2 linked regions of the Arabidopsis thaliana genome follow. The protein of the gene in region 2 interacts with the protein of the main gene of each other region in a biochemical or structural test. Each region holds a gene or a part of one and is shown on either strand. Other genes may lie near its edges. The genes, in order: FRU and EIL1.

The links.
Region 1: the proteins of EIL1 (region 2) and FRU form a complex in vitro, tested with the Arabidopsis thaliana proteins (one study listed by BioGRID).

What each region holds. Positions count from the first base shown.
Region 1 is NC_003071.7:12,002,879-12,007,083, forward strand, and holds FRU (FER-like regulator of iron uptake), read left to right. Parts: upstream 1-1,779; 5' UTR 1,780-1,834; coding exon 1,835-2,311; intron 2,312-2,392; coding exon 2,393-2,593; intron 2,594-2,668; coding exon 2,669-2,845; intron 2,846-2,928; coding exon 2,929-3,030; 3' UTR 3,031-3,117; coding exon of another isoform or gene 3,118-3,125; 3' UTR 3,126-3,398; downstream 3,399-4,205. Other genes in the region: ATCHX7 (Cation/hydrogen exchanger family protein), read right to left, coding at 3,493-3,939, 4,134-4,205. UniProt on the Arabidopsis thaliana protein: Transcription factor. Essential protein involved in iron uptake responses. Regulates FRO2 at the level of mRNA accumulation and IRT1 at the level of protein accumulation. Confers enhanced iron mobilization responses at low iron supply.
Region 2 is NC_003071.7:11,543,993-11,549,026, reverse strand, and holds EIL1 (ETHYLENE-INSENSITIVE3-like 1), read right to left. Parts: upstream 3,372-5,034; 5' UTR 3,035-3,371; intron 2,760-3,034; 5' UTR 2,714-2,759; coding exon 959-2,713; 3' UTR 734-958; downstream 1-733. UniProt on the Arabidopsis thaliana protein: Probable transcription factor acting as a positive regulator in the ethylene response pathway. Could bind the primary ethylene response element present in the ETHYLENE-RESPONSE-FACTOR1 promoter.

The sequences.
Region 1 (4,205 bases), 460 kb from region 2:
AAAATATTTTGCTTCATAAGTTTGTGACTTATTCAGAGTTATGTTTCTAAAGATGTGATAGGTACAGCAAAATTGTATTTGTTCCAAATGTCAATTAGTGAAGAAAAGAAAAAGAGTTGTCATATTTGTTGGAGTACTGAAAGATAATCATGTGGCAAAAAAAAAACGAAATAGGAAGAATTTCAGTAAAAATTATGCTAGCTTCACATGTATCAAATATATTTGAACCAAAGTATGCCATATTCATGAATTGTTTTTACAACAATTTTTATTTGTTTTAAACTCTAGAGGCTATATGTGAAAAAAAATTTTACAGCAAAAATAAGATTATATCAGAAACATTACAGACCGAAATTTACAGCCACGATCTAACCAAACATCTACTAAATTGACATAATAGCATTATTCAAATATTTATTTGGAAATTGGTTGATGTTTTTGAAAGTTGTGGAGTATCCCAAAAATCCAATGTTGCTCAAAAGTTCAGTTTCTCTAATAAATTCAACACCTAGATGGAATCTATAATTGGTTGACTTTTTTTTTTTTTTTTTTTTTACAGTTATATACCTGAAAAAATATTCCAACTTGAAATATTATAAAGAGTTGATTTTTGTCCTAACCGGCCAAGACTTTAATATTTTATACTGTCTTTCTTTGCTATCCTTTGTTTGTTTGTTGAGACAAGAACGAAAACCGTGCATTGAACAGGCTTCTTCATAATTTAATTGCGGTTTATCCTTAAATGATTTGAAAAATGGAAATGCATTTATCAAAAATAAAAGAAAATAATTGAAATGCTATTATATTCCAGAGTTGGTTTGTTATTTGAAAATTATGCTGGTTTAAGTTTATATTTGAAATTAATTTTGGCCGTTTTTCTACAAAACATATTTATCATATTGGAGTACTTTTTAAATACACTAACATAAAAATGTTGAGAAAAACTTTTGTTAAAATTCTAGCTTGTGACAACTAAACCAGTTGACATCTACAGTTGTAATAAGCCGATTGCAAATTAATTCCTAACATTTTAATAAACAAGAATATATGTGGATCTAAATTCAAAAATATAAACAGTACACTAACATTTGTACGTCTAATATCGTAGTAAACTTTTACTTATGAACACCTTTTTAATACGGTCTGATCGATTTATTTATTTATATAACCAAAACTCATATATATTCATAAACTAAATTATATAGTAACAGGATATATTATGAGCTTAATATACATGCTATATGCCTATATAAGGTCTTAATAACCAAAACTCATAATAATGTATTCATAAACTAAATTATATAGTAATATTTTTGGTATATTTTATAACTTTAAAAAACTCTAAATATTTGTGGTATTTTTGAAAATGGATAAAAATGATATTTTTGGAAAGTAGTATAATTTTAAAAAACTTCTCCCAATAAAGACATGACCAAAAATGTGTGTTATTTCTATATATATTTTTTTTTTTTTTTGATCAACATATACTCTTGTTTCTAATCTGCATTCCCTCCACCACAAAAAAAAATTCAAATGATAAAATATAAAGAAGAACAATGTGGAAATATAATTGTCATGCAACACGACAAATTAATCATTCGAGTAACATAATTTATACATATAATATACAGGTCATGCATGACATTACAAGACGTAACTGAATAAACTAATATCAACCAACTATCAAGAGTACATTTCTTTAAATTTGTTTTAATTGATTTCTTAACTTATTATGTTAATTAATACAGTTTATTTCATACTCACTCTATTATATAAACTCATTTTGTCTCTCTTTCGTTGTCAACAACTTTTCTTCATTGACAAAAACACACAAATGGAAGGAAGAGTCAACGCTCTGTCAAACATAAACGATCTCGAACTTCACAATTTCTTGGTCGATCCAAACTTCGATCAGTTCATAAACCTCATAAGAGGAGATCATCAAACCATTGACGAAAACCCAGTTCTTGATTTCGATCTTGGTCCATTACAAAACAGCCCCTGTTTCATAGACGAGAACCAGTTCATCCCAACACCTGTCGATGACCTCTTCGACGAATTGCCTGACTTAGACTCCAACGTTGCTGAATCATTCCGTAGCTTCGACGGTGATAGTGTTAGAGCCGGTGGTGAAGAAGATGAAGAAGATTACAACGACGGTGATGATTCTTCAGCCACTACTACGAATAATGATGGGACCCGTAAGACGAAGACTGATCGGTCTAGGACTTTGATCTCTGAGAGAAGAAGGAGAGGGCGTATGAAGGATAAGCTTTATGCATTGAGATCTCTTGTTCCCAATATTACTAAGGTAAGTCACAACATTTTCAAGATTTGGTAATGACTAATGAAACTGTAAATATTGATGAAGTATGTGTGTGTTGGCATTTAGATGGATAAAGCATCCATTGTTGGAGATGCAGTGTTGTATGTTCAAGAACTTCAGTCACAAGCGAAGAAACTCAAATCCGATATCGCGGGTCTTGAAGCTTCTTTAAACTCTACTGGAGGGTACCAAGAACATGCTCCTGATGCTCAAAAGACTCAACCTTTTCGCGGTATCAATCCTCCTGCTTCCAAAAAAATCATTCAGGTAATAACCTAAAAAAACCAATCAATCTTCTTGAAACATCAAAGTGTTTAAAGTTTGTATGTTTTGTTGTGTTAGATGGATGTTATACAAGTGGAGGAGAAAGGGTTTTATGTGAGATTGGTGTGTAACAAAGGAGAAGGTGTTGCTCCATCTCTTTACAAGTCTTTGGAGTCTCTTACAAGTTTCCAAGTGCAGAACTCTAACCTAAGCTCTCCTTCTCCGGACACATACCTCTTAACATATACCTTAGATGTAAATCAACTTGTGCCCTTTTACTTTGTTTTGTTTCCGAGTATACCGTTTACTTACCGAGTTTTCTTGTGTGGTGGAAACAGGGGACATGCTTCGAACAGAGCTTAAACTTGCCTAACCTGAAGCTGTGGATCACTGGATCACTTTTAAATCAAGGTTTTGAATTCATCAAGTCATTTACTTGATTCTATAACGCTTGCTCTAACGTGAGTCAAATCCGGTTCTGCACTATATTGATTGTGTACCTTTCTTACATGTTTCATAACTTCCAGGGCTCTAATTTCTATTCTAGTGATGATGTAACCGAGATTGTTGATTCTCTATTGAATAAACACCATGTTATATAGTAATTTAGCGACAAATTGTATGGTTAAATGAAGTAATATTTATGTTTTGTTTATAGTCTCAAGTCTTAAGTTTCTTTTGCTTTGATATATCACGTTTTGGTTCATTGGCTGTATTATTGCTTTGTTGTTGCAAGACCATTCACATCTTGATTCTATGTATTGTTCTCTGTTTGATTGGTAAAAGAATAAAGAATTTTAACCCCGAGAAAGCAGTACAGACGACCTATATGGATCGCCGACTCAACTCTAGGAACCTAATTTGTGCTTTGGATATTCATAACATGGTAAAACAAAAAGATTCTAATATTGTTGCTGTTGCAAGACCAAGACAGATGCCCTTGAAGGAAACTCCTTTGACGCTATAACATCTCCGAGGGCTCCAAGTTCCTCGAACTCTGTCCATTCATTTAATCCTTTTGTAACTGCGCTATTCATTCCGCTACTTCTTCCAACTATAAACAAATCATAATCATACGCTATTGATCTAAGTATCACTGAAGTCTCAGCCCCTTCTTTGACGCTTTTTTCTATACATATCCATGAATCATTTTCATTTGAATCCTCAGTCTTCATTATCTCTTTTATGTCATCGTAATCCAACTTCTGCACCGAGTCTTCGCTTTCCTCGGTAGTAAGTTGAGGTATGAGGTGTAAGATGGTTACGCTTGTCTGCTTGTTTCTCCTCATACGGTTGGTGAATGCTAAGGCTTCTTTATCGTCTTTCCCTCCCACAACTATTGCACACACCTGAAATACAAACCACGAGACCAGTTTAGAACTTGTTAAGATCACACATCGGAAGAAATGTGTAGGTACCAACACTAGTATAGAAAAAACATGGGCCAAATATACTAATCGTCGGTTTGTTTTGAGTTGGAAGCCAGACGACCCCAAAAATTAACCATGAGATCTCTTAATTACAAAAGAAAAAAAACAAGTACCTTGTAACATGAGCCGTGCATTTGAGATTCCCATAAAGGTTTCCGGTAGACGAAGATTCCAACAGAGCAAGA
Region 2 (5,034 bases):
CTTACATAAATTACTACGTTACTTTTTTATATTAAAATAAAAAATCATACCAAAAAATTACTAAGTTAAAACTGGCAATTATATCTTTGCATTACTATATATTATGTTCAGAATATAAGAATAATAAAGAACCAAAAAATGGGTGCATGAATGTAGTCAGTTTTGGCGATGAAGAGACTAAAAGAGTGGTGGGGTTTCACAACGCATATCACATGGCCTGTCCTCCAATTCCAAAATAAAGGAGACAACAACGTTTGTCTTCTCTTCCTCCCAAAAACACTCTCACCATTTTTGGCTTTTTTCACCTTATTATTATATAAATATCCGTTTTGGATTACAATGTGGATAAAAAAAGTTACATTAGAATTTGCCAGTGGTGAAGAAGAAGCCACAGTAGCCGACACTGATGCAATTGTTGGCAACCTGTTACTATATTATTCAATTGTGTTTGACCAAACAAATTATAAGAGAATATACTTTCTACATGAAAGCAAAGAAGATAACTTATATTATAAGATAAATGCTTTTTATAACCCTATAAATATGGCTAAGCCATGTGTTTTTCTTATGATATTGATTATTGAATTGAGTTGACTAGAGAACAACCAACAAAAATGACAGACTTAACACTTAAAAGAAAAAGAGAAAAAAGAGAAGAGTTCCATATTGTTTCATGATTGTTATGCTGGCTACTTGAACTTATACGGTTAAACCCAAAGATTAAAAAATAGAACTCAAAGAATCAAACTTGTAGCATGAGAATGATGTTCAATGGATAGTGACATTATTAAAACAATGAAGCGAGTTAAATGACTTTCAGACACAAAAAAAATAGATGGCTTCATCATCATCAACAATATAGATGAGTGTTTGGTGCCAATAGAATACATACCCAAGTCAGGTAAGTAGGTAACAGAGTTATTATGAAAGAATGAATGTTACAGAGATTGTGTAATATTCAGAACCATATTGATACATCTTGCTGCTGCTGCTGCTGCTGCTGCTGCTTCCCCATTCCTTCCATTGCTCCGGTTTGCCAATCATCTCTGTAATCGAATGCTGCCATATCGAATGGTGTCGAATCAAACACCATCTGGAACCGATTGTTAACCCCGTTGTTCGTCCCTTGTTGCATAAACATTTGATTGCCACTGTTGAAATTCAGCTGCTGATTCTGAGCTGCTTTTGCATCAATGACCATGCTTTGGTTTTCCATCAAAGTAGGAGGCGTTTGGTTGCTTTGGACATTTCTGTCGTACATGGCCATAAGCTCGGTGATCATCTTCTGCCCGTTTTCCGGAACTCCAACGCCCGATAGGTCGATCGGTTGGACTGGTTGCTGAGGAACTACTAGTTTCATTCCACCCATATGAAACTTGGATGCTCCATACGCTAAACGATTGTCTCTATATGGACAAACCATCTGGTGGTTGTCCCTTGAACTCCTGTCTTGAAATCCAAGATTCATTTTGCTGTGAGGACACTGACCATTCTCACAAGTGTAACCTGCTGATCTGTCCATTACCATAACATTCATATCATTGTTCTGCTTCCTCTTTCTCGTGAACTCTAAGTTTACCGTGGTGGCGACCTCCTCCTTTATGGGAAAATGTTGCATTTTAGCAACCCCAAAGCTTGCTAGAGGATGCATCATCACTATCTCTGGTTTCCGCTCTTCCACATCGAAACCATGTTGTTCCTTCTCGAAACCTTCAACGTCATACTCGCTACAATCATTAATGAGAAGCGACCCGCTTCCTAATGATGAAGAAGAAGAAAGAGGAGGGCATGACTCGGGATAAAGCTCCCGAGCCACAACCTCTTCTTGGTTAATAATGGCAAGCCAAGTAGCACTCTCTTTCGCCGTCATCTTATCCTGCAAGCATTTTGATTGCCTCACAAGCTTACGGATCTTCGCAATATCCGGCGACATATGCTTGATCACCGCAGTTAAAACACCGACTTTCCAAGCTTTCTTCAAATCATGAGGCTTCTTATAAGGAGGAGGACCTTGCTCATTTGGTAAACCAAGCTGAGGCCACCACTCTTCATTCCCATTAGGCCACCAAGGTGGAGAAACTCCTTTCTCCAAAGGAAACCGTCTCTGCGGTGGATCACAATGTTGCATCAAAGCCGATAAAAGCGAACCAAGAGTCGTGTCCTGAAGCTCCTGAAGCGTATGCGGTGTTGGACCAACCAAGCTGTTACAATCATTACTCCCTCCAGAAATATTATTCTCTGACTGATACTTAGCAATAGCAGCTGGACCATTACGATCAAACCTAACCTTATCTTTCCACCATTCCCTCAAATTATCCGAAGCACCAGTCACAGGCTTACCCTTCTCAGGAATAATACCATAAACAAAGCCTTGAGCTTTACAAACTTCCATCATCTTCAACATATACTTCAAGATCCCATCTTGGGCTCTAGACATTTTCTTCCTCCTAGCTTGCTCTTGCGACTGCCTCTGTTTCGAACCATCGACGCCTTCTTTACACTTACTCTGTTGCTCCTTGAGACGTTTCAAACGCATTTTGTCTCTCCACATCCTCTTCTCAAGCTCATCCACATCCATCTCATCATCGGTGTAGTCGACATCTTCAACTACAGGTTCTTGTTCAGCTTGTGGTAATGGACACACATCGAGAGATGTGGAGGAAGAGAAGAAATCCATGTTTCCATACATTCCCATCTCGTTAAACATCATCATGTCTCTTCCACCACAATCAAGAACAGAGCCTATCGATTTCTTTAACCTGAAAAAGAAAAAAAAACTTATAAGCTTTCTTTGATCAAACAAATCACCAGAAGCTAAAAACAACAAATCAAGCTTAAGGGTCAAAAACAAAAAAAAAAACTAAAGAGACTAAGAAGTAATGTTCTCATATCAATACATAGATTGTCAAAATGAATATTATAGACAATAAAACCAAACGATCTAGAAAGAACAGAGAGCCAAAAAAAATCGAAAGTATTATCAACAAAAAATAGAAACAATAATAAGATAAGAAAAGAGACAAAGAGTGTTTGCCTGAAAGAGTTGCAAATAAAGAACACCAAAAGTGGTATCTCTCTCTTGTTTTATAAAAGAAACAGATAAGGAAGTCTTGATGAATCCCCACAACTTCAGAGATGGAGAATAAGAAGAAAAGTCTGTTAAAGATCACATGGGAAGAAAGAAAGAGACATTAATTACTGTGTGGTGGTTTCTGGGTTTGTAGAGTTTGAAGATGAAAGAGAGAGAGAGAGAGAGAGAGACAAGAGGAAGAAGCAGATGCTTTGGTGGGGGGATTTAAAAGATTTAATAACGTCGCACCGTTTCAGTTTTTTCTCACTTTTTTCCAAAATATATAATAAATAAATGAGCATTGATTGACATTTTTAGGATCAAAATGAATGCAATATTCAGTCATAGTCGGTCCGGTCCACAACACAAGATGCGGTAATTGCAGTGTTTGGGAACCAGACCGGGCGTTCGGACCTGTTCTACCGGGATCGCCCGTCTAGTCCAATCCGAGTTGAGTCTACTGTTCACCGCTAAAAAACGCTAAAACTGATCAATATAAAAAAACGGGAATAACAAAATCTAAATCGGAAAAATATTACTAAAATTAAATTTATAGTAAATATTGATTTATATCTTTAAATTTCAACAAAACTAAATAGATATTAAATTTCTGTTGATTTTTCTAATAAATACTGAATATTCGTTGACAATGGCAATGGCTTGAAATGCTAATTAATAAAAATTTGACAACGACCAGATTACACGCATATATGATCCGCATGCAAAAGATGAACAACAACAAGCGCTAGAAAAGGATGAACGTTGTAGAGGTAATAATATGATAACATTAGATCCAAATAGCAAAAGCTCATTAGAATAGTTATGTTACTTTATAATTGGAGACAAAAATTTCACTTTGCTTTCAAAGCAGATTTAATATATAATTTTTGTCTCATATTGAAGGTACCATTGCTTTATAGGAACAATGTTGACGATTCCAGTTTCGGTTGCATCTGCTTAAAGAAGTTTTTCAAAGCTGAAGTTGATCAAATCGTATCTTCGGTCGACTATGTCACAAGAAAGATTGAGTGAGTTGGCTATATTATCAATCGAAAGAGAATTGGTTAGAGACATTGATTTTGAAAGCTTGGTTAACGATTTAGTGGAGAGGAAGGGTCAACAACTGTTTAAGAACTAATATTTAGTTTGTCAATTTTCTTTTTCTTACATGACAATGATGTTTATTTTTTGTAGACGATTTTTTTTTTCGTAAGGATATTTTATTTTTATTCGCTTCTGATACTTGATAGCGCTCGTACGACTCTGGAAACTCAATAGTATATATGAAGCTAAATACGCTCTATATACCACATTTGATGAATTTATGCCTTGAGTCAAGGCATAAAATTCATCTAATTTAGGGATTTTTTGCTTTGACGAAAGCATAGACGAAAGATATAACCTGAGAGAAGGCAACACTGATTCAGTCGAAGACAAGTGAAAACATTCTTCTATCAATACAAGATCGTAACATAAACGTGAACAAGCTCTACTAACTACGAATAATGATAATGGGCTCCATATTTAAGTTATATAGGCAAATGTTTTTGACTTTTGTAACAAAATCAAATTTATCTTCACTTTTCCTAACCTTCCTTTCGCCAACCTCCTCACCTGAGACATGAAGAAGAAACTCTCATGGATCTTAGAGTAAATACATAAATTTCACAGCTCGTCTCATCTTGTACATTGATTTATACATTGTCTCATATACCATCCCTTACACAGTATTAAACACCACTTGTACAGAGTTAAACACACCATCTTGTATACTATCTTTTACATAATCTCACATTATCTTGTACACGGCCTTGTACATCATCTTATACACCTCTGTTTATACCATCTCATACATCCCTTCACGCACACAGCCTAGTATATTATTTTGTACTGAACCATATGAATTATCCCATACACCGTCTTATACACTACCTCGTATACATTTTTGTAAATTGTCCGATACT